2 linked regions of the Astyanax mexicanus genome follow. The protein of the gene in region 1 purifies or fractionates together with the protein of each later gene. This does not show direct contact. Links are inferred from orthologs where the notes say so. Each region holds a gene or a part of one and is shown in the gene's direction. Other genes may lie near its edges.

Region 1 (16,528 bases):
TCATAACATGTAAAAGTGTAAGTGTAAAGTGTGGTATTAGATGTGTGTGGCATGTCAACCAAACTATTCTGTAGCTTGTTTCCAGCAGAAGTGCTCAGTGTGCTGAGTGTGTGCTGGTTTGTGTGTATGTGAGGCTAAATGCTAACAGAGCTACGAGCTGCATGTGGACTCGCGCTTCCTCGCCCCTCCTACAGCTGTGATAAACAGCAGGCTAGCTGCTAGCCTAGCCTCTCAGGCTACATGATTTCAACACAACTTCCCAAAGCAACGAGCTGCGATTTCTCTTTGAGCTCGGGCGGGGCATGCACACCTTACCTTGTATGCTATTTTTCAGGCGTGCACGGACACGGTAAAGCACCGCGGTGGCGGAGACACTTCAGTACCTGCTGCTCTGTGCCATCGGGTAGAGGAGCAGTATCGGAGCCCGCTGCTGTTTCTCCGGCTGCGAGCTGCGCGCCGCGGTAGGCTAAGCGCCTCAAAACGTCACTTCCACTCCTCCCTCTCACACGCTGATTGGCTAAGAGCTTTAGGATTGGGCGGGCTTTTCGTTCGTTTCCTAACCTTTTCAAAACTGATTTAATTATCAAATCTAAAATATAATATTCACAACACCCAAACACGCAGAGTTTATTAATGATACTAAATAAAGGACATGCTAGTTTTGACTAACCAAGTCTTTGAGAATCTGTTTTAAGTGCTTTAATATCCCAACATTCAACAACACTGAGCACTAATGCTAAGCTAACTATGTTATTAACAATTACCCATGTTTTATTAATGATATAAAACATGAGATAAAAATAAAAAAAGAGTGTTAAACTGTATGTGAACTAAACTTTGATGCGTGTGTATTCATATGTACGCCATGAGCGTTTGGTTTTAATGTCGTACGTGTTGATATGGGTTATACGTCTTATTTATGCTGGAATGCTAAGCTAAGCTAACTAACTAGCTACTAAAGAGAAGCTTGGGCGGCTAATTGTAGCAAGCTAGCTAGCTTAGGTTAGCTAAGCTAACTAACTACTTAACCTACGCTATCTTTTCTAAAATCTTTTCTTAAATATCTGTCTGTACCCACTGAAACTTTGTGTAGAGCAAGTTAACTCAAGTTTGCTTTGAAAATAAAACGCCATTATCTGAACAAAAGACAACACAGACACTGTTTAAACCATTCTGCTAGTTAGTTAGCTAGGTTAACTAACGTTACCTTAGTAAGGTTAGGTAAGTGAGCTAACGCTAGCAGCTAGCCTGCAGCCTCTCTGCTCTACGTCGATTGCAACGGACAACACCTGTTTTCTTCTTTGAGGTCTGTTGTCCAACAGAATTGACATTTATCAGTTAATCAAACAGCAACTTACTCCTGCCTACTCCATTGAACAAAATTAAATAAATCATGGTATGAGTTATTTTTACGGTTTAAGGATGATTTGATAAAATAAAAACGTTATATAAAAGCTAAGTATACAATAAAAATAAACAAATGAATGTTTGTTAAACAAATGATTACACTGAAATTAACATAAAAATACAAATAATATTTGTTTTTGGAGTGCGTTACAGACAGAAAACAGCATTCTTCTTTTATTTTTCATCACTGGCACATAATTCAAGTCTGAAAAGGTTATAAGTTTATTTATTTTCTTGTTAATGGCTTAAAGCCAGTGAAAATCTCAAAATGAGTGTTTCAGAAAATAATAATATTATATAATGCCATATATGAGACATGTCATCTGGTGGTGTTGATCCACTGTATTATTGGTCCAAAGTCAGTGCAGTGTTTTCCCGGGAAATCTTACAGCACTCCATGCTTCCCTCTGCTGACAACTTTTATGGAGATTTTATGCACACTGCCCACACTGCCAAAAGTACCAATCTTATACAATATTCATTAATATTCATATCCTGGCATCTTCACAGTGTCTGCATTGCCCACAAAATAAGACACTACTATTCTAATATAAAATTAATAATTACTAAACATAACAAAAAGTATTTTAAATCACAAAGAATTAGTAATAATGAGCCTGTATTACTTTGCCTTATATATTCTGTAGTGCTGACCTGCCTTTATGTCTGAGTTGGTGGTTATTTCTCAAGTGCAGTAGGCGAGGCTAAACTACTGTTTTATTGGCTAGTTTAGATTTATTCAGATAACAAAAGGTCTCTATAAGTGTTCTGTGCAACAAAACATTTAAAAAAAGAAACTACATGATGTCCATTTAATTGACGCAGGGTCTGAAAGAGTTAAAATAGATCACTCTGTGTGATCTATTTATATAATATGAGTAAGTAACTTTTCAATGATATTCAATTGTTTTGAGATGCACTAGAATATGGAGTGCATTATTAGTATCATGACATCCTGGATTATTGACATGTTGAATTCCTTCTATAGTCGAAATCGAATTTCACATTTGCATGTGGCAATACCTGGGCAACCACCTAAGACATGATAGCACTTATCTATGATACAATTGTAACCACTTATCAACTGATTAGCAACAGTATAGCAAACATGTTTTTTTTTTGTTATTTGTACATAATGCATTATGCCAACGTCTCTTGCCAGCTGAGACCACTTTTCATCAGCACTTGCTTTGCTATGCTTCACTGTTTCTTTGTTTCACTAATTGCCACACCATAAGCTACACCATGAGCCACACCATCTAGCATGATCTTAGTGTAATCTTGTTATAAAACCTTAACCGGGCCACTGTGTGAGGGGCTTAGACTTACTTGCACTCTGTTCTAGACTGCAGCGCAGAAGTCACTTTAAATGAGCAGGCTAGAGGTAGGCAGTGAGCTCTGGTGGAGGACAGCACAGACAGTTCCTCTCAGCAGATGACATGAATCTTTATCTCTCTGCTGCTCAGCTATGGGAAGAACTGAAATCGAATCATTTGGCCAAATACGGGGCAGTTACTGCAGCTACAGCAATTAGTGAGTTCTACTGGTTTCTTTTTCAGTCTATGGTTCAGCTTTAGTTTAATTATGCCTCAAAATGTGTTGAAGTTTTGCAGTGAGAAGGTTACATAACTCAGGGATGGAAAATAATCACATGCTTGATTTATTGATAACTATAACTATTAGTACTATATGTATGCTGTAAACATATTCAGATTATGTTTTGACTAGATGGGTTATATTTTTGTACTCAATGATAATTTGCATTTTAAGATGAAATGCTACTGTTAATAGTGAGTGTTTAGTCCTTGCATTGTCCTCTGCACACATTTCTATTTGTACCAAATGTAAAAGTGAATTCTGACTCTATATATGATCACCAGTCTGGCCTGGTTCGGTGTAAAATTCATTCTGAAACATTTCTTTAAGGATGTAACAAATTCCTCCCAGAACCAGAAATGTGTGATACACTTGTAAACCTAACCAAGTCACAGTCACACACTAAACCCACCATTTTGAGAAGATTATTGGAGGTAATCTGGTTAGGCTAGTAGCACAGAGGTCTACGGCTCCACATGGCACCATGTGTCCGACTGCAGGAAATGAAAGGATTTCTGTGTACGTGAATTATGAACTATAACAGAATTTGCAAGTTGTATTGTATACAAATACATGTTTTTATTTAATGCATTTGTTTTCATTGTATTAGAGATACAGATTAAATTTAGAAATTACATTTACAGCAGTCTCACCTCTTTCTACAAATCTTTAGATAATGAGGAAACACATTACATTTTATCGTAAGAGTAGAACTGGGGGATCATTGCATCATGTGCTGTCTGTCAAATCCACTCATGGCTGCCTGTGAGCTCTGCCAAGCTGTATTCACACAGGGAAACAAGGAAACACAGCTGACCAACATAGACGGTTGTTTTTTTTAAATATAATATTCAATTGTAATGACATAGCTACCCGGAATTCTCAATAATGTCATTATTTTGTATTGAAAAAGTGGCACATCATTAACACCAGGCATCACATTTAGGCATCACAAAAGGCTAAACCAAATAAAGACAAGTTTGTGTCAAATTCTAATGGTTCTGTGCACCAAATGAAATGCAGGTTTGGTTCTGCTGAGAAAGTGGATTGCTGGTGGAGTATGCCACAGCCATGTGCGATTAGATGGGAGGACAGTGGTCATCACTGGTGCCAACACTGGCATTGGAAAAGAGACAGCCCGGGACCTGGCTAAAAGAGGTAAAAACACACATACATTTTTTCCAGTCAGCTGGGAACTGTAACAGAGATTAAACAGAATTAGTAATGTAACTGATGGCATGTTTTGTTTTCAGGAGCTCGAGTTGTGATGGCATGCCGAGACCTCACCAGAGCGGAGAAGGCTGCAGCAGAGATACGTCGTTCCACAGGAAATGGCAACGTGGTGGTCCGACATTTAGATTTGGCTTCCTTCTTCTCAGTCCGTCAGTTTGCACATGAATATATTTCCACAGAAGACCGACTGGACATACTCATCAACAACGCTGGTGAGACCATTGGTGTCAAGCAAGAATTTTTATTTTTTTCCTTTTTTTTAATTTTACATCATGTGCATCAGGCAGTTCTTCTTTTACATTGGGTCAACAATTCATTTAGAAAGCCATTAAAGAGATCATCAAAAATTACTTACATAACTTTGCATTGACTTCAATAGAAAGTAAGATTGTTTTGATTACCTGTTGTGTTTTTTTGTAAATGCAAAAAATATATACTATATCTATTTGTTACTGACTTGTTATTGACAAGTACATGGCTATGGCTATGAAAATAATCTCCAGCTACTCTACACAGTGTTAACATATCTATCTATCTATCTATCTAACTTGATATATATATATATATAAATATATAGTAATCATAATGTGAAAACAATTCTATGTGAACACACAAGTTCTTAAATAAATATACTGTATGCTAGTAAACTATGAACTACATTGAATTGAATGACCACACATTGACCCTTATTCTACTACATTAGGAGTGATGATGTGCCCCCACAGTCTCACAGAGGATGGGTATGAAACTCAGTTTGCTGTCAATCATCTGGGCCATTTCCTTCTGACTGTTTTGCTCCTGGACATGCTGAAGAACTCGACCCCTAGCCGTATCATCAATGTGTCCAGCATTGCTCATAAAGGGGGTGAGGCTGACCTTTCAAACTGAGAATCCAGTTTATTTGTTTGTTCGATTTTTAATTAAATGCCAACAGAAGATTAGATATCTATATTTCAAGTGATTGTATTTGTTTTAATGTCACCCTTATAAATATTGTTAATGTCATACATGAACAAGACATTTTTTTATGTCAAACACTTCCTCCTATCTTTTTTTCTACAGGAAAGATCCATTTTGATGACCTTAACTTCAACAAAACACCATATAATTCCTTGATCAGTTACAGGCAGAGCAAACTAGCCAACGTTCTGTTCACCAGAGAGCTCTCACGGCGGATCAAAGGTTTATATTCTTCTCCCTACAAACTGTACAGAAAAAAAATCAATTTGCCTTTAACATGTTCACCACTCTTTTTTGGTCTTTTTGGTAGTTTATAATTTATTTGCTCATATGTACCTGTTGATTTTCTGGGCAGGGTCTGGAGTAACAGCCTTTTCCGTGCACCCTGGAGTGATCCGCACTGAGCTGGGCCGATATGTGGAGATGCGCCATCCTGTGGTCAGTACCCTGCTGTCCCTTCCTGCCATCCTCCTCATGAAGACCCCGAAGCAGGGAGCTCAGACTACCATTTACTGCACCATCACTGAGGGACTGGAAAAATACAATGGCTGTTACTTTAGGTAAGTTCATAAAAATCCAAAAGTGAGTATATATTTATACAGTTTCAGAAAAAATTAAGATACCACTTAAAAATGCTAAGCTTTTTTTGATGGCTTGTGACCATCCATCTTCCTCTTGACAGAGGTTTAAATAGGGTTGGTGGATGGTCACAAGCCATTAAAAAAAGCAGGACTGCTTGAATTTTAGCACAAAGAGAGGCAAGTAATGATAAAATGTATAAGTTCAGTCCTAGTTTATAAGATACAGAAAAAAAATTAAAAAGCATTTTTATGATAATGATCTTTGCATCTTTGGTAATGGCAGTGACTGCCGGATGATGGAGCCAGCGCTGGAGGCTAAAGATGACCTTGCTGCCATGAGGCTGTGGGATGTGAGCGCTAAGCTGGTGGGCTACAAAGAAGAGAACTAATCCCAGGCAACATCCCAAACCAGTGATGTGATCTTCCACCACCAGTACATGCCTACAGCAGAATGATCAGAGCTCCTGCTGAAAATCAGTCTGCTCTGTGCCTGCTTTATTAATACATCTTTACATGCTTTTGTCACAACAGATTTCATACATTTTATAAAACACTGGAAATGGAAAATAAGTAATGAAGAAAATGGTCATTTGTAACATATCATATAGAACACTTGTGTACCTAAACTTTAGAATCATTTTAAATTAATTTGTTTAGATCTGAAATTACTGTCACTTTTTCATGATAAAATTGCATTTTTTCACTTCACTACCTGATGAACATTATCTTTTTTTGTCACCGTTAAAACTGATTTCAGCCTATCCTTATATCTTTACGTGTGACCGAGTAGTTTGGCTAAAATTTGTATAAATTACTTTAGCTCTGGTTAGCTGTTGTCATTACTGTGTAATTAATAGTGATATTACTATGGCAAAGATGAATAAAAAATAAACATGATTTTTATGTTTTTATTTTCCTGTTAAGTTGCCATTTTGGATGTATAAGACTTGTACGCAAAAATAGTGCTGAGACACTTGCTCCAGCTCTCAGCATATCTGACAGGTGGGGTAGTGTGGACACAGTGAACACTCAGTAAATCATGGCTTTATTTTATTGTGAGTGAAAAACTTGGGTGCAGGTTCCCACTAGTATGCAGATGCAAATATTGACAACAGAGTAGAATAATAAAATACAATTGAATAAAAATATACAGTTAACTTTACTGTATTACACACAATAACAATACACACAATAACTTACACCTAAGACATATAGACATATTGCATTGCATGGATATACATTAAATATAACTGAATATATATATATATATATATAAATAATGCTATATAGATATGCAGATATCTAGAGTATGTGTGTGGAAGTGAGGAAATAGTCTAATGGGTGAGAGAGTAATTATATTATATTACATTAAATGCCTGTTCACTCTCTACTCCACTTAATACTTTCAGATCAGTAACAGGAACCAACCCAAATTCTGCAGGTTTGAAAATAGATGTAAAAACTAGACACACATAACAAAGCTAAAGGTGTGCAGGACATGAAATGTTTGATTTGTATTCAAGAAAATATTGATTTTAAAATTAATTTCAGGAGAGACCAATTTAGTGATTGTTATTCATTTTATTTTAAAGTTGCATATTTAACTGTTACATATTTTACATTACAATTACAATTTTTAGTAACGTTTATTATCAAACATAAGACCATTTAAGTAATGTTTAAAATTAAATCTTCAAGATTAAGGGGTGTAATATCGGGCAGAAAATTAACAAAAATCCTGGCCTGTTAATAATACTGGTTTAGAATGGAAGACCTTACCAAGATGGCGGCGTGCTCACTCTGTGCGGGGTTGCCGCGGTGCACTGTGGGGCGGCTATATCTGTGTGTGGGGGCTGATTTGGGGTCAGTGGTGGAGCTGCATAGTTCGCTGTCTCTGCGCTGTGAGGGGAAAACTAGCAGATCCCAGATCAGCCGTACCGCCGTTCACATACACCGGAACTGCTCCGGGATCTTCAGCGGAGGTTTTGTTAGGTGTCAACAGTAGAGCTAATTTAATACTGAAGAGAAGTGAGCGCAGTTTAATATTCAGCTGTTATTCTACAGTATAATCAGTAATTATATAGTTAAATAAACAGGCGGAGTGAAGGACACTGCTGTCAGGATGAACGTGACTTTAGCTGTGAAGCAGTATGTCTCCAAAATGATAGAAAGCAGCGGACCAGGAATGAAGGTTTTACTAATGGATAAAGAGACGGTGAGTACAGACTCATACCCGAGCTTCAGTCCTACAGAAACACAGAGTAACGAAGGGGGAATGTAATGTATTATTCCTCTCACTGTCAGCTGTGCTTACAGATAGATAGATAGACAGATGCAGAGACAGGGGTTCATGCTAACTAGCTAACCAAGTAACGTATCTTCTCATATACTGTACACCCATAATACTGGATATAAGTAGATAGTGCTGAACTTCAGAGAGTCTTAACAGTATATTGCCTTGCAAATATCTATCAGGTTGTCATGTCCCTTTCCTGATATAAGATGTATAAGTGTAGATTGGTAAACGGTGTCTTGTCATGTAAGACCTGACTCTCTTCTCCTTGGCTGGTATTCCTGTGTTTGTGCCATCAGGGCCTTGCAGCTGATCCAGAACACAACAGCATAACCTGTATTGAGTCGTCATGTTTTTATCACTGTCTATCCTTTGATATGTTACTTTTAACTCCTGCAAAAACACTGATGCTGGTATACCAAGCCTAAAATGGGCTGAGCCATTCCTGCTTAATAGCAGCCCACAGGACAATTGTTTTGTTCAATTGTTGATTTTTGGTGTCTCAGGAGATTTATTTGAGATTCTTACTTAGGTTTTATTTCTAAATCAACTCAGACACAGATGTTTCTTCAAAAATTGCTTAGAGGAAATAATATTAGACAAAAATGAGACATAAGAAGTCAAACTGGGAACTAACTGGTTTTAGATCTGGGAAGATTTATTGTCAACCCACCAAACATGAGTATCGAACCCATCTTCAATGTCTCGGGGCTCTGAGCAAAATAATTCAGAAGTTAAGAGTATAGGCTTTGTAACCCTGATCAAACATATTTAATTAATTCAACACAAATATCTGTCCAATCAGTTTTGCCTTTTATTTCTTGAACAGAAATAATTTTGCATATTATAAAAAAAAATCATATTGCAGAAACAACACCTGAGGTGTGGGTGCAATTGTACATACTATAGCAAATATTGTAGAAGGTAAAATCTAGTACACAGCATCAAAACTGAGAAGGCTCTTTGTCTTTGGATTAAAAAAAAAGTTGCATTTGTATTAAGACTCCTATCTTGTAAATGATTGTAGTAACCCTACCAAATGTGGTAGGGTTACCACTGCCGTTGAGATCTATACTAAAGCTTAAGTGAGATTACTGGGCTCTTTTTCTCAGAAGACATGCTTGACCAGCCGGGGTCTCATGCTAAAATCTTTTCATCAAACCTTATTGTTGTGTAGGAGAAACTACAGAGATATTAAGGAGATCTCCCTTTTGATTTGTTTTTCCTCTGGGAATGATCAAAACCTGACCTGTTACCGGACTCCCTTGAGTGGGGCTCTACGTAACCTGCCATTATTTAAGACACATGGAAGACAAACATCAAGATGTGTTCGCTGTCATGGCAATATTTTTACTGAAGAATCCGTTTGAAGTGCCTTTAAATAAAATAAAAATCTTACACTTACTGAAGTGTTTTGTATTTTGACTCTAAACTCTTTGTCCAATATGGTATTAAAGCATGTTATATATTTTACAAATGTAAATGTGTGTGTTTATGTCTATAGACCAGTATCGTGAGTATGGTTTACACACAGTCTGAGATCCTTCAGAAAGAGGTATACCTGTTCGAGCGGATCGACTCCCAAAACCGAGAGAACATGAAACATCTGAAGGCCATCTGCTTTCTGCGACCGACCAAGGTATGCTTGACACCACCATACCCTGTATATTGTCAGAACCGTGCATATCTGTTTTGTTTTGCAATGCTAAGGTACAGTTACTGTATAAAAACATAAAAAGCAATTGTGCCAAGTGCCAAGGTTAGACAAGCTATCCAGTGAGGACCTGTAAATTGAAAAAAATATATATATATAAAATACAGAATTAAAAGCATTCTTTGAGTAAGTAAAAATATCAGAAACAAGAAATAAAACTATTTGTCTACGAAGTGTTCCAGCAGTTGTTGAGCTTATAAGATGTCTAAACTGTCTAAAGCACATGCCACAATTCCTGTTTTTTTTTGTTTATTTGCTATGCTAGCTATTTACAAACACTAATAAAATTATTTAGTTTATTTGCAAAGGCCTGGAAATAAACTATGTGAGCATTATAATAATAGATTATATGTTATCAGTTTGCTGCTTCGTTTATGGAGATAAATTCTTTTCTGTTTAGGAAAATGTAGAGAATCTGATTCAAGAGTTGCACCGGCCCAAGTACAGCGTCTACTTCATCTGTGAGTAATGAGAAACTCCACTTTTCACAGGCTAACACAAGTACAAAGCCCTTATTTTACAGTGTTGTTTATTTTTACATTGATGCCTGTATTTCTCTTCCCCCAGATTTCAGTAATGTCATTAGTAAGAGCGAAGTGAAAGCTCTGGCTGAGGCTGATGAGCAGGAGGTTGTTGCAGAGGTGCAGGTCAGTAAACTATTTAAACACTGCAGAACAATGTCCTACTGATTTTTTTTTCTTTGTATATACAGTAAGTAGATAAGTAATGATATCTAGAATGCAGTTTTTACATTAATACAGTTTCTGTTTTCTGCTTGCAGGAGTTCTATGGAGACTTTATCGCTGTGAACCCTCATCTCTTCTCCCTTAACCTACAAGGGGTAGTCAGGGTAGGAGACAAGGCACCACACTGATAAAAAAACATATTTTAGCTTTGGATCATTTAAGTCATGAACTTCCACAGTTTGTGGGGAAAATCATGGGTTTTTTGTAGAAGTTAAATACACTTGATCTTTAAATGGACACTCTGTGTAGCACAACTTGACCCATGTAGTGTGTATGTGTGTTTTCTTTTAGGGTCGCAGCTGGGAACCCACTATTCTTCCACGTGTCACTCAGGGCTTAACCTCAGTACTGTTGGCCTTGAAGAAGTGCCCCATGATCCGCTACCAGCTCTCCTCTGACATGGCTAAGAGACTAGCTGAAAGTGTCAAAGTAAGAAATATAAATAATGTTTTTCATATGTATATATAGACTGCTTGTAACATTTAAGTATTTTTAGAGTGATGCAACATGAACTGAAAATGCAAAAGAAACTCAAAGGCTTCTAAAGGCTAAGCATAGAAGGTTTTTAAATGACTTAGAGAGAAGCCTAATGGAAAACCTCTAGAATATAATCAAGAGGAAGATGGATGATCACAAGCCATCAAACCAAGCTGAACTGCTTGATTTTTTGTACCAGTAGTGTCATAAAGTTATCCAAAGGCAGTGTGTAAGACTGGTAATTAAAAACCAAAGTTATTCCACTCTTAAAACTTTATGAATATGCACTTGTTTTCTTTATTTGAGGTCTGAAAGCACTGCATCTTTTTTTTATTTTAGCCATTTCTCATTTTCTGCTCTAAATGACAATATTTTAATTTGAATTTGACAGAAACGTTGTTCATAGTTTACAGAATAAAACAACAATGTTCATTTTACTCAAACATAAACCTATAAATAGTAAAATCAGAGAAACTGAATCAGAAACTGAAGTGGTCTCTTATTTTTTTCCAGAGCTGTATATAACAAAAAATAGTATAGAAACGTTTTACTGTTTACTCTTGCTGACTTCATAATGTGATTATGGCAATAATCCATTTTTAAATGCTTTGGTATGTGGATGCCTTTTTCTAAATATTCCTGTAAACTGCTTATAAAATGTTGCATTTATTATTTTACTATAGCAAATCATCACCAAGGAATATGAGCTGTTTGACTTTAGAAAAACAGAAGTGCCTCCCCTACTCCTGATTCTGGACAGAAGTGATGATGCCATCACACCCCTTCTCAACCAGGTGAGTCCCTGCCTCTTTTTGTTGAACGTAAACTTCTAAAACATCTAATATATTAAACATCCTTCTCCTGCATTGTGCCCCAGCTGTCTGTGATCACATGAGGGCAGTAGAGGCACTAGCTTATGCAACGGTGTTCCTGCTCTATACTGTATATATAGATACTTAATGCAGTTATTAATAGACAGGCCTTCTAAGAGAAACGTAAGCATTACTTGGTCTCAATTTCATGTTTATGTGACCTACACTGGGGTGTTCTCTCCTCTAAAGTTGTGTTTTATGATCTGGCAATTTTTATGTTATGTAAAAATTCACTGAATGTCATTAGAATTGGAACAAATTGGAATGTGTGTGCTTTCCCCCCTCTAGTGGACATATCAGGCTATGGTTCATGAGCTGCTGGGTCTCAACAACAACAGAATAGACCTATCCCGAGTTCCTGGCATCAGCAAAGACCTGAGGGAAGTGGTGCTGTCTGCAGAGAACGATGAGTTCTATGCCAATGTGGGTAACACTAGACTGTAAGAGTGATGCTCAGAGCTCTGTTTATTAGAATGACCTCAGTGGCACCTTTAAGAAATATTTTTGAGCTAGATTTACTGTGCCAGTATAACTGACCAATAGATATGTTCACTTTACATTCCATTTAAAGTCACCATTTTGGAGATACATGTTTCTCACTGGACAGCAACAATATTATCTTCATTACAACAGTATTTTGACATATAACTTAAAAAGCTTAAAAACGTTAAATATATAAAAAAAAAAAACCTGGATAAATGTAAATATGCGAATGTAAATAAAAATGCATTTTAGTAAGAAAAAAGTTTAATCCACCACATCAGCTACAGATGATTAGAACATGGTTATGGAGGATTTTTGGGAAGAGGATTTTGGCCAGATCTAAAGAGCTCTTTGAGACGTTTAGAAAGAAGGCTGTAGATGGTATATAATCTGAAAAATTTCAGAACAGTTAGAAAATCCGGCCTTGCTGTCCCAGCAAGCTTAGGCCAGTAGCAGACCGCAATATGTGTAAATAAGATCCTAAATTCATCACAGAACCTACAGCATTGCATACATATTTTCTTATGTATGATTTCATTAAAGTGTTTGAAAACTTGCGAACTACTTTTCTTTAAAACAGAACTTATATCTGAACTTTGGTGAGATTGGGACAAACATTAAGAACTTAATGGAGGACTTTCAGAAGAAGAAGCCGAAGGGTCAACAGAAACTAGAGTCTATTTCTGATATGAAGGTAAGAATGAAGATATTTTGTTTTATAAATAAATCTAAAAACTACAGTGTTTTTTATAATGTATTTAAGGGAGTAACTTCATTTAGTTTAAGGAAGTTCAATTTCTGTAGAAATAAAAAAACAATATGAATGGTTTGTAAACCTTATAGTGGTTCTGCATCCCAAATTTTGACATGTGCAACGTGTTTCGTGATAATCATGATTGTAAATGTCATCCGTGAGTGGTCATAATATTTTGGCCAATCAGTGTACAGTTGTAAAAAATTGGACACCACATGAAATCCTTTTATTTCGTTTTTTTTAATATATTTTAACATAACTGTTCAGTTAAAACATGTATCTCAGTCGTTGAACCCCCATAAATTTGGATGAACTGACCAATAGATATGTTCACTTTACATTCCATTTAAAGTCACCATTTTGGAGATACATGTTTCTCACTGGACAGCAACAATATTATCTTCATTACAACAGTATTTTGACATAAAACTAAAAAAGCTTAAAAACGTTAAATATATTAAAAAAAAAACCTGGATAAATGTAAATATGCGAATGTAAATAAAAATGCATTTTAGTTAGAAAAAAGTTTAAGCCACCACATCAGCTACAGATGATTAGAACATGGTTATGGAGGATTTTTGGGAAGAGGATTTTGGCCAGATCTAAAGAGCTCTTTGAGACGTTTAGAAAGAAGGCTGTAGATGGTATAGAATCTGAAAAAATTCAGAACAGTTAGAAAATCCGGCCTTGCTGTCCCAGCAAGCTTAGGCCAGTAGCAGACCGCAATATGTGTAAATAAGATCCTAAATTCATCACAGAACCTACAGTTAGATATTACCTCAGTTTATGTTAAAGTACACTATCTACTATCAGACAGAGAACAAACAAGTTTAATTTTCATGGGAGATGTCTGGTTAAAAAAGTTCAAACATTGATATACCGTATTTTTCGGGCTATAAGGCGCACTTAAAAATACTTATTTTTTCCCAAAAATCGTCATTGCGCCTTATAATGCAGTGCGCCTTGTGTATGGATTTTGCTTGTGTTTACTGACCTCGATTTTATGTGGTACACGGCGCTCTGTTGTGCAGAATTCCTCACCCACGCCAGAAAAAGATCCCCCTCTTGGGCTAGCGCGCGGTTACCTTTGACTGCCGTACTGCCTCTCGGCTGTGGCTCAGGGTAGCTAGTTTCCACTGTAGCTCCGTGGCCAGAACAAGGTGCAGGTAAACTTTCCTTTCCACCCGTTCTGGGGTAATAGCACAAACTGTTTCTTTTTAGCGCCCACTTCTAAGTAAAGTTAACCTCTTAACACGCGCTGGCCCACCGGCGGGCCAGAAATATTTAATATTTCATAACTGGCTGTGTTTCTGAATAGTTATGAACAGTTACAGGTTCAATATAGACATCCAATATACCATTTAAAGCTTAGAATCTCTGCTTTTGAGCTATTTAGCCTATTTAGCGGAATATCCTTTCAGAAAATAAACATTTAGGGCGAAATATGCCTTGGTTATGATTTTAATAATTCATAACTCTCATATTTGCGTTTATCGTTCGTCCATATTTCATCGAATGCGGTCATGTCATAAACCATTCGAACCGTCTGGCTCTCCGGATTCCAGAACTGTGCTTTTACTGTAGGATGTATGTTTCATGAATTAAAGCTGCGTCAGAGCGCATGTTTCCAGTAATAAAAGGCTCTCCTTTTGTCCTGGGGTAACCTCCGGTCACTGCCGCCACCCCCCGAACACACACCCGCGCTCAGCCACAGGTCCTACCTTCAAAACGCGTCCAGACTAAAGAGAATCCATCAATCCAGTCTCCTGTAATCCACAGTTATATCCAAACAGCGCTGGAAATCACTTCATCCAGAAATGAAACTTATCCAATCTTTATCTCTGTTTTAAAACCGTTTTATTCACTGAATTCGGCACAACACGCTATTATAGTCAGAAGCCTCGCGGAGTAATGCGGTACTTGCTGTGCTTCAACATAATATTATGGTCTGTCGGAGCGTTGCGGCTACCGTTGTCAGGAGCGTCGCGGAGTAATACGTACTTGCTGTGCTTCAACATAATATTATGGTCTGTCGGAGCGTTGCGGCTACCGTTGTCAGGAGCGTCGCGGAGTAATACGGTACTTGCTGTGCTTCAACATAGTAATATTATGGTCTGTCGGAGCGTTACGGCTACCGTTGTCAGGAGCGTCGCGGAGTAATACGGTACTTGCTGTGCTTCAACATAGTAATATTATGGTCTGTCGGAGCGTTACGGCTACCGTTGTCAGGAGCATAGCGGAGTAATACTAACTGTGCTTCAACATAGTCTTACGGTGTGTGTGTAAGGACCGTGAAATGGCTCCAGTTAAGAGACATGCTTAAGAGACATTTAGTGCGCCTTATAATCCAGTGCGCCTTGTGTATGGACTAACACTAAAAATAGACCGTTCACTCATCGTGCGCCTTATAATACGGTGCGCCTTATAGTCCGAAAAATACGGTATTCATATTTTTTATAAAGGACTAAATATTTATTGTGGAGTCTTAATTGTTTTCACATTAATGTATAATTATTTTTATATTCATGTTTATTGTATTATTTTTTTGTATTGACAGTTCTTGAGTACATATCTCCTCAGTCTGGGCCAGGGGCACTAATCCTACGGAGTGCTTTGAACTCTGTTGTTGCTTATTTTGGGCTTTTTCCTGAGCATCTGCTCTCTCTCTGCAGGCGTTTGTGGATAACTACCCGCAGTTTAAGAAAATGTCAGGCACTGTTAGCAAGCATGTGACGGTGGTGGGGGAACTGTCTCGTCTTGTCAGCGAGAGGCAGCTGATGGAGGTGTCTGAGGTAGAACAGGAGCTGGCCTGCCAGAATGACCACTCCAGTGCCCAGCAGGTACAGCTCACACTGCTCGCTCATTAACACACTCCTCACAGCTCACAGTAGTACACAGCTTTATTTACCCCCCGTCTTCTGAGCTGGAGCAAAGGTGAACAAGGACCAAGGAGGTGCACTATATGCCCAAATGGTTGTGGACACCTCTTCTAACAAATTGATTCAGCTACTCTACACTGCAGACATTCTGACACAGATGTGCAAAGACACACATACAGCTTGTCCAGGCCTTTTAGAGAAATAATACCAATTTTACCAAAACCAAACTTTCTGGAGCGGATAAACATGAACCTATTGACACCATGCATAATGGCATAATGGGTGCTCAGTTCAATACTTTTGGGAGTTGGGGATGAGGTGTGGTGGTGATCAAATTATTAACAAAAGCAGGAAGTATATGTATGTGTTTAATACCCTTGATTTTAGAATAAACAATCAATGAACAAGTGTCCCAATACTTTTGTCCACACAGTGTACATGACCAAGTCTTCTTTGCAGGGTTCGTACGGTCATGAAAAACTGGAAGCAACTTTTAGGCCTGGATAAGAAATTTAAAAATAAAAATACCCATA
Region 2 (15,748 bases), on another chromosome or scaffold:
GTTGTGTCTGTAAAAATATATTTATAAAGTCACACGAGTAGAGAGATGTTTAGATGCCAACAGGCTAACATGCTTAGGAAAATATCTAAAGGACAAAAAGGTAAGTAAGACTAACATACTGCCTTTTAACTGTTATTATATAAAAATATAATCAAAAACAGGCTAATTTGCTGCAGTTTCAATTTATACAACCAAAGAACCATAAAAAATAATGAAAATAAAACGCCAAGGAGTACTGCTTTAAAACACGAACACTAACACAGCCACCATTTTCTGATCTCCGACTCCATTTTCTAGACAAAGGTCTAACGTTAACAGATTTATGAACTTCTATTGTGCTTAAACTTAACTCATATGTAAAAAAAAATATGTGTTTATACAGTCTACAGACCGACTGAGTGTAGAGTTTGTGTACTTTTACCACATTTCTCACGTGTAAACAGGGTGAAAAGGATGAGACACGAGGAAACGTGGCTTGTCTGTTCAGCAGCTTCTCAAGTCTGAGAAGCAGAGCTGCTAGCTGCAGTAGATATCAAATGCCACAGTGCACCCTACAGGACATCTCAGGCAACAACAACATCTGATTTGAGCTCTCACAGCAGTTCATAAGGTAGCAGAATAAAATAAACAAAAAATGATAACAATAACAAAAAAATAATTACAAATGTGACCATCACTTTGTGGGCGTCACACATACATACATACACTCAATATATGGCAGCCACTAGGTCCATACGTCTACATTTAACATTGGAAGTCTGCAAAGGTTACTAAAAGTTAAAAATTTCATGTATATTTCTGTTATAATTTTGGTATTTCATTTATGTTATGATATAACAGGTCTTGGAAAAAAGGACACATTTTATATACAGTCAATGTCCTTTTAGAATGGTTTAATGTGGTGTTGACAATCCATCTTTGCATGGCATCAGTGTTGATTATTGATATTTCCTCTTTTTTTTGTCTTATCACACAGCAGTCCTTGGCCAAGTCTAATGTCAAGGTTCCCAAAAGATCCTACCAAAGACTCAACCGAACCAGGATGAGCATCTTTGCGCAGGAGCTGGCCGTGTTGGTCTTTACCAAAGAAACCTTGAGAGAATCCACCCTTACCGGAAAGACTTCAAAGGGAGCTCCTCTTAAAAGACAGCTTGATGTGGAGAAGGTGCATGCCATAACAGGTAAGCCAATGAAAAGGGATGTGTATTGTTCCAGCAAGTTTACCAGTCAACAACTTTTCTTAACTGAGGTTAAAAATAATGTTTCACTGTGTAATTTGTAATTTTAGTTTAAAAGCAGTTGTAAAAACTATAACAAACTTTTAATTAGATCTACTTGCACAGTAATCATACTTGTTAATAATGCTGATATGTTTCTGCTCATATATTTTTTCTTAACTCTTAATATTGATTGAATTCTAGATTTTATTTTACCAAAATACCAAGTACCAAAAGCAGTACAATACCAGCAGAGGTTTTTTCCTGTTGTAAGACAATACACATGATACAATTTTCTTAGGTATGTGTAAGCTGAAGTATAATTAATTTGTTTTCTGTAACAGATGCAGTAATGGAAGAATTTCCCAATACATCAGCCTCAGATGTGCGGACTGCAATAAGAAGAAAATGCAACAATGAGCAGTTCACAGTGAAAAAAACTGATTGACTGATGCTGTTTATGTCAAGTCAAGTCAAGTCAAGTAGTTTTATTGTCAATGCTGCATATGTACAGGACATACATAGAATTGAAATTACGTTACTCTCCTTCCCAATTTTACAGCAAGTACAGATAATGGATAATAAAGAAAAAGGGGAGACACTATGTGTACAATACAGCAGCAGGGACACAAATAGACATACATGAGACAAAAACAAGGTGCAGTAGTGGTGGGGGTGAAATAGATATATAAATAGAAATAAAAAGAAATAAAAATATAATCTAAATGAGTGGGAGACACTATATGTACAATACAACAAAAACACAATAGACATTTGTGAGACAGAAGATAATAGTGCAATATTAATGGTGATTAAGATCAAGTGACAATATAAATTGGACAATGTAAAACATTTGCCACTTCATTTAGATTGCATTGGAACTGTTGCAACAAGTTACAAAGGGAAGATATTTCTTAGTTTTATTTTTATCATTTGTCCTTTAAGTACATGCCCCTACAGAGAGTTAGTTAGATCTCTGTTTGCTGAAAACGTTAAGATAAAAAAACAAAAGGTTTAGAAAATACGGTTTGTTTGTATGTTTCACTTGTGTTGATGTGAGCTGTTGCTGTAATAACTTGCTAATTTCTCCTAAGACTGTGGTCACTTGTAATGGAGTGCTGCATAGTCAAGCAAAGATGTACAATTAAATGTTTGCATTAATCAGCATACGTTTATTCTTGTTTCTTTTTACAATAAGTATGAGCAGTGAGTGAAAACTTAAATATTATGTATTTGTATTCATGATATAACAATGAAGTAAGCTTAAAATATATTTTCTGTAACAAAATATACTGATTGAAATGGATACATTTGTAATGACATTATAAGCTAATAGATTCAAAACACTTCTGCATATGTATTTGCGTATTTAATGTATAATTAAAAAGTTAACTTAAAATACATTTACATTTAAAACTCAATAGTCTGCATTGTCTAGTCTTTCTTTAGTTAAATTAAAATACATTTTAAATGTCAAATAAAAATTGTAGTACAGTATATTAAAATATATTTTTATACTCAGCAAAGTATACTAGAAGTGTGCTACTCACAAAAGACAGGAACAAGAAGCATATTTGAAGGCTAATGTAAATATATTTAACATCAATTTTTAGTGCATTGCTAATATACTTGGTATATAATAGTGATACTATTGTAATACTCATTAAATGTATAATGATTTTACTGTAAGCATATTTAAAATAAGGGGTTACATACATGAAGTAGTATATTTAAATGTTAATTAAGTATATTTGAGATCCATTTTAGTACAGTTAAGTACACTTAGAACAAATTAAGTAGAACTTTTGTACAATTTTTATACAATAAAAGTATAATAAGTACAAAAATAGTTGTTCCATTTTAGCACACTTTAAGCATACTGACTAATCGTGCAGCTACAAGTACACTTTAGTGCACTATAGCATAATGATGTTTAGTATACTTTAATATACTTTTTTTTCACTAGGGTCGGATTGTGTAAATAATTATAGTCTGCAGGGGTGGCTTCATTTAATGCTACATATTCATTTGGCCTAATCCAGGTTTCTGTCAGACACAGAACATCGAATTTCTGATCAGTTATCATTTCATTCACTAGAACTGCTTTTGAATTTAGAGATCTAATATTAAGTAAACCAATCTTTAGGTTTGAAGTGTTAGTGCTACAGTCTGGATGTGATTGTTTAATATAAGTTAAGTTATTTGGATTGACTGTTTCAGTTTTTTGACATTTTTGTTTGACTCGGGGGACAGACACATTCTGAATTCATTGGTATCTTGGTAACTTCTCTTTGCAGCTCGCAGACGGTCGGTTAAGCCTCTCTGTCTGTGGCCTGGTCCTGGCTCTGGATTGTCAGCACTAACACTACTTTGCCGACTAGCTGAAAGACTATGAGCTATGCTGCATGAAAGTCAGGCAGCACCCTCCTGCGTGGGGTGGACACCATCCCTACCTAAAAGACCAGGCTTGTCTTCAAAGTATAGCCATCTATAAAGCCCACATGATTTTCTGCACACCACTTGGACATCCAGTGGTTCAGCGAAGAAAGCCTGCTGCAAGCTTCATCACCACGCCTCATTGGGATGGGGCCAGAGCAGATTACCTCCTCGGACACCGTCTGGGCCTGTTTAATCACCTCTTTAATATTACCCTTAGGTACTTCAGACTGCCGCAGGCGAATACCATTGGCCCCTACATGAATTACTACCCTCGAATATCTCCTATTCTCTAACAGCCTAAGGTTGCCACTAATGTCCGGTGCTCTGGGTCCCAGTAAACAAGTAACTGTTGCCTCTGGTCTAAAGCAGTAGCTAAATTCACGTGTCGGACTATAGAGTCTCCTATAACCAGAGTACCTTTTTTTATATAATTTTATTGTAATTTTGTAATTGTTATTGTAATATATTTTTCCCCATTTTCTCCACAATTTACATGGCCAATTACCCAACCCACACATTAGGACTCCCCCTATTACTAGTGATGCCCCAACACACTAGAAGGGTGAAGACTAACACATGCTTCCTTCGATACATGTAAAGTCAGCCACCGCTTCTTTTCAAGCTGCTGCTGATGCAGCATTGCCGAGCAGCCAGTGCGCTCAAATGAAAGCACAGCGCCTCGGTTCCAGTACATCAGCTCACAGACGCCCTGTGCTGTGGACATCACCCTAGGAGTGATGTGGGGAGAGAGTGCCATCTACCCACCTGGAGGGAGCAGGGCCAAGAGTAGAGCAAGCTAACAGCAGCACACCAGCAGAGCAGCAGACTAGAGTGCAGAGTAGCAGAGCAGACAGTAACTTTGAAAGGTGGAGACTTAGAGCTCAGAAAGACTACAAGACTAACCCAGAGCTAGATACTTTTCTCCTGAACAGGTAAGATAACTGGCTAGCTAAATCAGTCAGGTAATTTATCGCAACCACCAGGTTAGCTTACTTGGAACTGGTGTTCCAAATAAATAAAAAAATTGAGTGTTCACATTCATTTTAATGGTCTGTGTGCAGCTGGGATAACAGGGCAGAGGGTATCTGAGAGACCTAGATAGCTTAGCAAGGTGTAGCTGTCTCAAAGGTGAAGAGCCTGGGCGGTGCTTAGGTCTGTCTCAGGTGGTCATGCAAAGCACGGGGGGTGAAATTAGATCTCTCTCGGGCGGTCCAGTGAGGAGTCCAGACGCATGTCTCTCAGGCAGTCCGATACAGTGCGGAGTCCAAACGGATCTCTCTCAGGCGGACCGGTACGGCATGGAGTCCGTGCAGAGCAAGGGTGTTGAAAATAGAATCTTCAGGCGGTCCGTTACGGAGCGCAGTCTGCCTGGAGCCCGGGGGTAAAGCAAGATCTCTCTTGGGCAGTCCGCTACAGAGCGGAGTCCATTTGCAGCACAGTGTCTGACATGGCATGAAGTTAGCGTGGAGCACAGGTGGTGAAGGTAGATCTCTCTCAGGTCCAGCACGGCACACAGTCTGCAGGGAGCACGGGGGGTGAAGCTAGATCTGGCTCAGGCTGTCCAGTACGGTGCGGAGTCCACACAGAGCATGAGTGGTGAAGCTAGATCTCTCTCAGGCGGTCCGGTATGTCGCGGAGTCCGCACGGATCTCTCTCAGGCAGTTCGAAACAGTGCAGAGTCTGCACGGAGCAGGGGGGGTGATAACGCGGGGTGAAGCTAAATCTCTCTCAGGTGGTCCGGTACGGCGCAGAGACCGTACGGAGCATGGGGGTGAAGCTAGATCTCTCTCAGGCTGTCCGGTACAGCGCGGAGACCGCATGGAGCACAGAGGTGAAGCTAGATCTCTCTCTGGTACAGTGCAGAGTCTGTGTGGAGCACAGGGGTGAAACTACCCAGATAGCAAGTGTAAGTTGGCTCAACGTCATTGTTTACGTTGGTTTGACGTTGGGTGTCAACCAATATTTGACGTCTCAGTGCGGTTTAAAGTGACAGTGTTTGTAAACAGTAATTATGTTGGGCGTCAACCAATGTTTGATGTTTGGCCTAGGTTGGCCTAATGTTGGCTTCTGACCAGTTAACATTAGCAAGACAAGGGCTTTGTAAACCTTTATATAGTAAAATCTATTAGCCCACAAATATGTATAACTGAATGTAAAAAGAATGTTACGTATTAAATAACCATCAAGAATGTGAAAAAAACAACAATAAATGATTGCTAAAATAATTTACTGAATGTATTTTGAAGTGGAAAAAACATGTATGTGATACATAACTAACACTAATATAAAAAAAACCAGTGGACATGGAGTCAGTCACTGAAAGAGAAAAAGAAGACTATTCTAAATGAATTATTTACATTTTAAAATTATACATATTTATTGCTAGTTAGTGCAAAGTAGTTTAAAAGCCAAGTAATAATTACATCAAGCTGAAATATTTTGCCTTCCTTCTACAAAATGTATTTCTGTTAATTTGATTTAAAAATAAATAAATAAACAGAAAGAGATTATGTAGAAGGAATGTTACATATTTAACTTGATGTAACTATTGCTTGGCTTGGCTCTATATATATATATTCCAACATTTTCGGCCACAACTGTATATACTGTATACTTTAAAATATATTTTGAATAACAGCATTATATTATAAATTATTATATATTATCTTAATTTAACCTTACCCCGCTACATTTGAGTTTATCCAACTGCGTTTAGGTGAATTCAGCTTCAACTAATTTAAATATGAACACACACAAGCCTGAATTAACGGTCGTTTTTCCCTGCGTGTAAATGACCACGCGCTTCAGAATCTCAGCATTTGTTTCATGTACAGCCTGTGCATGGTTTAAAGCACATGTGTCAAACACAAGGCCCGTCCTTTTATGTGGCCCGCGAGAGCTTGTAAAATGTTAGTGTCTATAATAAATAGGTCAGAAGCGTGCTTTGACCAAAAACTACATTTCCTACAATGCTTGTCGATTGTGTTACCCGCGAAGTTACGGCTTACTGCCACTACACGGCAGTGTAGTCATTGATGTGGAAACCCTGCCAGAGGGAAGGCGTAACTTCGCGGGTGTAATTGAGACATACAAATGTTTATCCCATAATGTCCAGAAAAAGAAAAGTTGTCACATGTTCAAAAATCTGTCACATGTTCTTAACAGCTCACAATTTTTTATTTTATATTTATTAAGGCTTATTTCAATATCAAACGTTTTGATCAAAGTTAATATAACTTGATGTCATTATATTCACTTGAATAGTTTGGTTCTTGATTGATGGAGTTTTTGGATTTCATAACATGACAAATTAAAAGGATTTATGTTAATAGAGCAACAAGCAAACATTTTTTCCATGCAACTGTAATATTTGATTGAATAAATAATATATTGAGAGTTATTTAACATTAAGGAGTAATTACATTCATTTTATATTACATTTGGTTACATTTTATTACATTTCTAAGTTACATCTGGCCCTCAGAGGACAGCCAATATGCCAATGTGGCCCTTGGCTAAAATGAGTTTGACACCCCTGGTTTAAAGGCTTAGACTTCACCTGTGACAGCTGAAGTGCTCCGTGTACACAACACACACACACACACAAACAAGATGGGAGTCAAAGTGCCAACGTTGTTTTGGATGCACACACCTGTTTTGGAGCATGACTGGAACACGGCAAGCTGCGGTGTGTGTGTGTTCTGTGCCCTGTGTGTCTGTCTGTGGGTTTTTGTTTGTTTCCGTGAACACGAGCCATGGAGGAGCCATGATCCAATATTCGTGTGTGAGACTTGACAGTTTGGGAATAAACTAAAGACCAAAGTGAGACTGACATTGGAAAAACGTTGGCATTTTGACGCCGACCTCCGCTGCTTAACGACCTTTATCCAACGTTCTAAAAATACTGCCAACCACAGACCAACGTTGCTCTGACGTCGAATTTCTACGTGTGACATAGGCGACATTTGCCAATGTTGGGCCAAAGTACTTGCTATCTGGGTAGATCTCTCTCTGGCGGTCAAATACAGCATGATGTAACTTTAGGTCCCTCTCATGTAACATACAGTCAATATAACGCTAGATACAGGTTTAAGAAGAGTTTAGAATTGCCGTATTTCTCCTCTCTCCGCTCGCTTGTATTCTAAGTTCTCCGTCTCTCCTACTTTGTATAGATTCAGCGTCCTAAATTTGTGTCTGGCTAGGGGTGGTCGGGGCCAAGGGCGTATGAGCCACCCTATAGGGTCCTAAAACAACATTTGTGGAATTACTTTTAATTACAAGTAATCCCTTTTTTCTGTTTATTATTAGTTACATCCAAGTAAAGGTGACTTTACAACCTAAACAAGTTACTCCACATTACATTTACTATTGTTAGAAAAAAAAATATGCGTGCAATGTCTGAATTATACGGAGCCCCTAAAGGGACGTGGTGTATTTTTCTTTTTACATAGAAAGTGGTGAGCACCACTTACTAAGTCGTGGGCACCACATACTAAGTTGGAGCACCACATACTAAGTCGTGAGCACCACATACTAAGTCGCGAGCACGACTTACTAAGTCGTGAGCACCACATACTAAGTCGTGAGCACCGCATACTAAGTCGTGAGCACCACTTACTAAGTCGTGAGCACAACATACTAAGTCGTGAGCACCAGATAATATATAAAGATAATTCAGATAATTCTATAAAAATATGCCAGTTATCACCCGATAGTTAAAATAATAACAACAGATTTGGTTATTATTATTATTATTATTATTATTATTATTATTATTATTATTATTATTATTATTATGCATTGGCAGGTCAATTCTGTTGTATAGTTACATTTTCTTCAATCTTTAAAAAGAAACATATTAGCATTGGATCCTGTGCTTTAAATTTTTATGCACTTCTATAATGGAAAACACACAATTTTAGGGCAGAGACCAGGATTAAGAAACTGCTTTAAACTACAGACATAAAGTACTGGACTAAATTCTGGCCATCCACAACATCCAGCTAGCTAACTAGCTTTTTTTCCCATTATAGTATACAGTAAGTCCTGTAATCCTAAATGAATGAACACAAATTGAAAATGAAATAGTGATTAGCTGATAAGGTACATCAGGGCAAGCTGAACATTACATAGTTTATTTTTTCCTTAAACCTTGAATACCTATCTATCTAATTCCAAAGTTAAACAAATCCACCTGTCTCTAATATCCCCCCGGTTCCTATGCCAATGTTCGGGGCAGACTACTCTCTGTGGTGTTTTGAAATTGGACTGCTGTGATTATTTTACGTGACTTAAAGGGTTTGGAGTTGCCTAGTCAAAGTCTGGTTGATATGCTGTGGTATGACCTTAAACAGAAAATTTTTGCTCGAAAACCTTCCAGTGTGTCTGAATTCTGAAAAGAAGAGTGGACAAAATTTCCTCCACAGAGATGTGAAAGACTCCTTGCCAGTTATTTGTAAAGCTTGATTGCAGTTGCTGCCACCAATCAAGTTATTAGGTCAAGAGGGCAAATACTTTTTCACACAGGGCTAGATTGGATTGGAATTTTTTTCCCTATAGTAAATACAATTATCATTCAATTCATTCATCATTTTTTATATTTACTCTTATCTTAATCTGATATTAACGTTTGTTTGATAATTGGAAAAATCTCAGTATGACAAAAAAGCAAAAACAAAAGAAATCTTTAGATGGGGAAAATACTTCTTCACGCTACTGTATGCACTGTTTAATTATTACATTGATTTTGAAGTTTTTGTTAATGTTTTTCAAGTAAATTGCCTTAAATATGTTGTTTCAATTCATGTATTTAGTTAGCAGTCATTATCCTATAAGAAGTGCAGATTAACATAGAACACATTTTGTTGGCAATTCTGCCTGATCGCAGTGTCCCTTCCGAGCTGCCGTATCAAAATCTTTAGATGGGGAAAATACTTCTTCACGCTACTGTATATGCACTGTTTAATTATTACATTGATTTTGAAGTTTTTGTTAATGTTTTTCAAGTAAATTGCCTTAAATATGTTGTTTCAATTCATGTATTTAGTTAGCAGTCATTATCCTATAAGAAGTGCAGATTAACATAGAACACATTTTGTTGGCAATTCTGCCTGATCGCAGTGTCCCTTCCGAGCTGCCGTATCAACTGAACGTGGGTCACATGACCCACCGTGTGATGAGGCTGCGCTGCTGCTGCTGTCGAGCTGAGTTTCACCTCCTGCAACTTCACACACTCTTACACGCCCCAACACACATTCTCCCATTCCCCGGAGCCGCAGCGGACTGCGGTAAGACCCCGCCGCGGCTCTGAGTGACTGTACGCCGGTGTAATTGCGTGTTTAAATTGTGCGGAGGCTCCTTCCGCCGCGGCTCTGCTGCTGTGTTATGCTGTAACGGGGGTTATAACAGTATCAGCTCCGACACAGTGCCGTTACTGAAGGTTTTTTACTGTCTCTAAAACGTTTAACCGCTATAATGTACTATCCTACAATCTCTCAGGACTGTCGGAACAGTCCGAGCTCATTTATTATCATTATAATACAGCGTTCATACACGCCCAGTTAACCTGCACGCAGCTAGCTAGGTTAGTTGGCTAACGTTAGCAAGCTAAGCTAACCGTTTAAGCTTTTGTTAACGCGTTATAAATCTCATCGGGTATTAATCGTTAGCTAACTAACGTAGCTAACTATATTAGTACACACCGTCTGTCGTTCTAAATAAGACTTAGAGTACCAGTAATTCGAAAACACCTTAAATTCTGTGTTTTTTAAATGTTCTGTATTGTATATTAATACCAAAGTCATCTAAACATCTGAAATTATTTAGTAAACAAAAAAGTGTTAAACAAACCAGAATATGTTTTAGATTTTTATTTTTTTTAAAGAAGCACCTCTTGCTTATTTGACTATCTCTGCATTTTCTGTGTTTCTATAAATAAATAAGTAAACAGGAGAAAAAGAAACATGATATTCAGATGTTTTATGAGTAAATACTGATCCTGAATGCTGAAGCTGTAAGGTTTAACACTGATTGATAGAGAAGACAAAAGAAGAGATTAGCAGGGTCTGGTCTTAAACAACAGTAGAGATGAATATAGACTCCTTTGTGTGTGCTGTAACTAATTATTAATGATACCTAATTACTAACATATTTACTGTATTTCTCTTTTCAGAGTGATGGAGAAGGTCTGGAGTGTGTGCTGCCTTCAGTCAGATATGCTATGAGCTTTTGGATATCACCCATTGTGCCATAGTACACCCAGCACATTTGTTCAACCCTTGACCCATGGCCTCTAGTTACCCTCCTCCGTTTGAAGGCTCAGCTGAGGTAAAGGAGGGCTTCCTTTGCCCTCTTTGTCTGAAGGACCTGCAGTCTTTCTATCAGCTGCAGGACCACTATGAGGAGGAGCACTCTGGAGACAGCCACCATGTTGGAGGACAAATAAAGAGTAAGTGCTTTTTAATACATTACCTTGGTTAAGTGGTTCAATCAATGCTTGACTTGGCCAACAGATTTTAGTGTTACAATACCAAAATTATGATATTTGATAAGATACTCCTCTAAATATCTCTACGTATTTCAAAGCAAAATCCAAAAATGTCAGAAATTAAGCTATTTTTTGTTTTTTAAATTTATAATTAAAAAAGGAAAAAAAACATAAAGATGAATACATTAAGAATAAACATCATTGTTAACATCTTTATTTATTTATTTTTCCTTTTCTCTTTAGTAAGAACATAATAGGTCTTTGAAATATCTTTGATAGTTAACTTTGTATTTGCAAGTAGAACTCACTGATTAATCTTTTAATGATATTATGGCATTATACATCTATGGTAATCGCAATTCCTAGCAATAGAAATTCGTATTATATATGAGCCATGATTAAATTTACTAGTACAGCTGAGAGTGCCTGATTTTTATTATTATTTTTAGTTTTTCTTAAAGTTAAGGTACAGGAAGTTTGGGCCAGTCCAATTGTATAGAGAGCCCTATTAGTGGTTATTTAAAAAAAATAAAAAACAAAAAAAAACATAGTTATTAGCCTACTGAAAAAGACACAAAAACACTCCCACTCCTCTGAGTTATTTTAGAGGATATAAGCATGATGTAATTGTTTTCTATAATATTCAATAAAGGAATTCTCAGAATTATTAAAACAAGTCTGCAGTTCTGTGTAGAAGATGCTTTGCTATTTGGAGCTGTTTCTCGTCTTTCTCGTCTGGTCTGCAGGTATAAAACATACTTAAGAGACGGGTATTGATGTTCATGGCTTATCTGACTGTCAGATTCGTATGCTAAATAATTCCATATTTGGCTTTATGCGTGTACTTTATGTAGAAACTGAGGACTGTCGGGAAAAACGTTGGTATTACGCTGTGTTCTGTGCAAACACACTGCCCCCGGTGGCACTCCTATTTAAAAATATTCTCATTCTTACCAGTACCAGTACTGCCGACCTCACTCGAAATTCCATAATTCATGTTACCAAGCTGGCTTTACTCACAAGATAAACACCTTACAATTTAAACCAATGTGGGTCTTCCCAAGTTGTCCCCTGAGGTACTCTTACTTTTGTTGTGATTTTTTTTTTTTTTTGTAATGTGGTAAAGCCAGAGGCTGCGGTCTGAGTTCTCGTTTGATAAAATAAACAAGTCTGAAGCTTGTTTTCGGTACATTTATACTTCTGACTGCCACTACTTCCACTACCAGTCATTACAGTACCAGCACAACTGGTGCACTATTCTATTATAGGAATCACTTTGATATATTTTCTATGTTGTCACTCAGGTTTAGTGCAGAAGGCAAAGAAGGCCAAAGACAAGCTTCTGAAACGGGATGGAGACGAGAGAACTGAGACCAGCTATGAGTCTTTCTACTGTGGAGGAGTGGACCCCTACATGTGGGAGCCTCAGGAACTGGGTGAGACTGAGGGAATTACTGCTAATGACAGAGCACAATATACCTGGCACATTGTAATTGGAGAACTTTGTATTTCTCTGATACCGATAGAAACGTTGGACTGATAATATCAGAAAAGGAAAAAATAAAAAAAAAAGTCTGAATGAATGAATTCACAATGTCACAAACTTATTTGTAGCTGAAACTATTGCATAGTCATCAGTTGACATTTATTATTTCAGTATTGTCTTTTCCTTTTCCTAATAAAACGCACCTTACATTTTTTTTATACGTTGGCTAGTCAAGTCTAAGTTAGTTCATTCTGTTTGATTAGGAGCCACTCGGAGTCACCTGGATCTTTTTAAGAAACACAGAGCTGCCAGGATTGATCATTATGTCATCGAGGTCAACAAGCGAATCATTAGGTTGGAGAAGGTAAATATTTTGTAAAAAATACTATGTATATTTAATTATGGCACAGTTGTGTCAGTGGTTTGGTTAACAATTTAACTTTAGTGTGTTTGGTCATGTGACTGGTTATTACACCTTTTCATAAGTGTGAGAATCAATATTTTTATGTCACTTTTTGTCATTTTGGTCAAGAATAATAACTATTTATAGTGTGTTCATGTTTGGAATTCCTTTTTTTAAACATTTTTAACATTCTAATAACATTTTATATTTTGTATAATTGAGTCCATTCCTGTAACTCCCTTTTCATTCAGCATCTTTAAAACCATTTCAGCTGTAAACTTACTAGCCACAAACCCGTTGAATAAAGAAACATAAAAGGAAGACAACTTTTTGAGCAACAAACCAATCCAAACATCAGTATGTAGCTGTATAAATTAATGCACACATGCATTAGGGTTAAGGGTTAACACAGAAACAGATCATCATAGCCTTAGATATGAATTGATATGAACTGAATTCTATAACTCGAGCAACGTAAATAATAACCAAATCATGTCTTTGTTTTTTCTAGCTTACTTCCTTCGACAGAACCAACATGGACGCTGGGAAGATAAGAGGTGGGGCAGAGAGATGAAAAGATATTGTTACTGTGGTCATTACAGTGTTGTGACCAAAACATGGTTTATTATTGTTATTTTAATTTCAGCTTTGGAGAAGTCAGTGGTGCCGTGGGTGAGTGATCACGATGTACCGTTCTGCCCCGACTGTGGTGGCAAGTTCAACATCAGGAACCGACGCCATCACTGCCGGCTCTGTGGATCCATCATGTGCAGGAAGTGTATGGAATTTGTGCCGCTGCCGCTGGCCTGTAAGTTGCATTGTGCACACTTTCATAGACAAGAGTTGCAGATGTTTCAGCCAAATGTTAAAAAAATATTTTAAATATTATTTTAATACTGTTGTGAGAGGGCCATGTCTACCACTGGTTTAGTGTTTCCTCTTCCTTAATAACAATCTATAAACTCATGTGAAATGAGGAGCACCCATTGCTGGAGTTTTGACTTCTCTTCTGCGAAGCCATACTGTTGGTTGCAGTATGTGCTTTAGCGTTTTCTTGATGAAATATCCAATGCCTTCCTGTCAAAGAAATTGTCTGGATTTGAGCATATATGTTTTTCTAAAACCTCTCTATACTATTCAGTTGATAATAGCTTTCCAGATTACAAAAAGGTAATAAAGTATTTATTTGAATTTGTAAGTGCTTTTATACAAATATTACAGATAAGGATTGTGTGCGTAAATATTTATATATAATGTAAAGTACACTGTATGATTGTTGTCAGGTAAACTAACCAGCAGCACCCGAGAGGCACTGTTTGTGCCAGGCAGTCCAGGGAAGGGGGGGTCCCCAAGTGCTGGAGGTCCTGCAGCACCACAGCAGCAGCTTCCACGTCGTGGTTCTATCAGCAGCCTATCTTCAGTCAGCTCCGTGCTGGAGGAGAAAGATGAAGACCGCATCCGCTGCTGCCGCCACTGCATGGAAGCTTTGCTCCGTCACCAACACAAGCTGGAGGAGAAAGATCATGTGCCTGACATTGTCAAACTTTACGAGGTACAGCCTGAATAAGAGCTGAGGTCAGATATGGTGTGCACAGGTGTTGTAGCTGTCTATGCTGTTCTTCAGCCATGTGTCGCATTTACCTTAAAAGAACACATTATTTATGGTACTGCTCCACTGACATGTAAGGGGAGAAAAGCAACTCTAACATTGCTACGCCTGGATTAGCGCACGACAAAATCTACTTTAAATATCGACCAGACTGCTTCTCTTCTCTGCATTTATCCTCACAAAGAGCTTTAATCCAGGGTCACACTAAACAATGTTTGCCCCAATTCTAGTCCCAATTACCTATCCAGTTCAGTCTGTTTAATTGGCTCTGTTCTGCGCATTTTTTTTATAAAGTTTTCATGTGGTGTTGTTTTTTTGGATATTATTTAGAAAAAGATTTAACACTTTGTTGATTAGATTTCCTCAAACTAATTGTTTTTTATTTTTCTTTGTTCTTACTGACACTGGCAAAATTCCCATTCGTTTCCTCCCATTGCTATGCTGTTTCTTTATGTTGAGTTTGTCCTCCTGTGTCTTCCTGTTCGCAGAGACTGAGGATCTGCATGGACAAGGTGGATGAGAAAGCTCCAGAGTACATCCGCATGGCCGAGTCACTCCAGTAAGTCTTCCTGCTTTTGGTGTGTAAGCAGCACCATAAATTTAGTTTATAAGTTTAGCACTGGCCCATTTCCCTGAGTGTCAGTGTAGCCTCTTCTCTATATATACAGCTGCTAGAAACTCAGAAAGTCAACTGTTTAGTTGAAATAGTATTTTGCTTTCTTGTTTCCAATAGGGTTGTGAACATTCTGATACATTGTGGTTGGGCTCTGTGACTAAACTTCAGGGAAAAATGTTACTTATTTAACTTCAACAACTTTGCAAATTCAATTCTATTCAAGTATCCCTTTCACAATTAAAAAAAACTAACAGTTGGCAAAAAACTAAATGTTAGTTCAAAATGTCTAATATACACCAAAAAGTGTAATAATTTTTACTTTAGCATTTGAAAGAAATGGTTACTAAGCCTTTACTCACATTAGGCACGGTTCGGTTGAATTGTGCTCGCTGCTGAGTGGGCTTGCCGGAGTTGTGCCGAATTAAGCACCCCCACCAGGGTGCAAATTACAAGGGGTCAGCCCCCCCCCCCCCAATTAAGACTAAAGGGGTA

What was found.
Region 2: the proteins of vps45 (region 1) and rabenosyn-5 purify together in Homo sapiens (affinity purification with mass spectrometry; 4 studies listed by BioGRID and IntAct, counting the BioPlex papers as one, with this or other methods). This does not show direct contact. The link is inferred for Astyanax mexicanus from reciprocal best matches to the Homo sapiens genes VPS45 and RBSN.

What each region holds. Positions count from the first base shown.
Region 1 is NC_064410.1:49,923,801-49,940,328, reverse strand, and holds the start of vps45 (vacuolar protein sorting-associated protein 45), read left to right. Parts: upstream 1-7,648; 5' UTR 7,649-7,899; coding exon 7,900-7,992; intron 7,993-9,574; coding exon 9,575-9,709; intron 9,710-10,184; coding exon 10,185-10,245; intron 10,246-10,351; coding exon 10,352-10,431; intron 10,432-10,565; coding exon 10,566-10,634; intron 10,635-10,821; coding exon 10,822-10,959; intron 10,960-11,690; coding exon 11,691-11,801; intron 11,802-12,167; coding exon 12,168-12,302; intron 12,303-12,942; coding exon 12,943-13,056; intron 13,057-15,788; coding exon 15,789-15,956; intron 15,957-16,528. Other genes in the region: zgc:153441 (retinol-DH_like_SDR_c domain-containing protein), read left to right, coding at 2,847-2,940, 4,027-4,161, 4,257-4,448, 4,940-5,101, 5,299-5,418, 5,552-5,756, 6,061-6,166. UniProt on the Homo sapiens protein: May play a role in vesicle-mediated protein trafficking from the Golgi stack through the trans-Golgi network.
Region 2 is NC_064419.1:14,641,957-14,657,704, reverse strand, and holds the start of rabenosyn-5, read left to right. Parts: upstream 1-9,793; 5' UTR 9,794-9,943; intron 9,944-10,827; 5' UTR 10,828-10,940; coding exon 10,941-11,103; intron 11,104-12,446; coding exon 12,447-12,578; intron 12,579-12,891; coding exon 12,892-12,992; intron 12,993-13,542; coding exon 13,543-13,588; intron 13,589-13,677; coding exon 13,678-13,839; intron 13,840-14,314; coding exon 14,315-14,583; intron 14,584-15,128; coding exon 15,129-15,199; intron 15,200-15,748. UniProt on the Homo sapiens protein: Rab4/Rab5 effector protein acting in early endocytic membrane fusion and membrane trafficking of recycling endosomes. Required for endosome fusion either homotypically or with clathrin coated vesicles.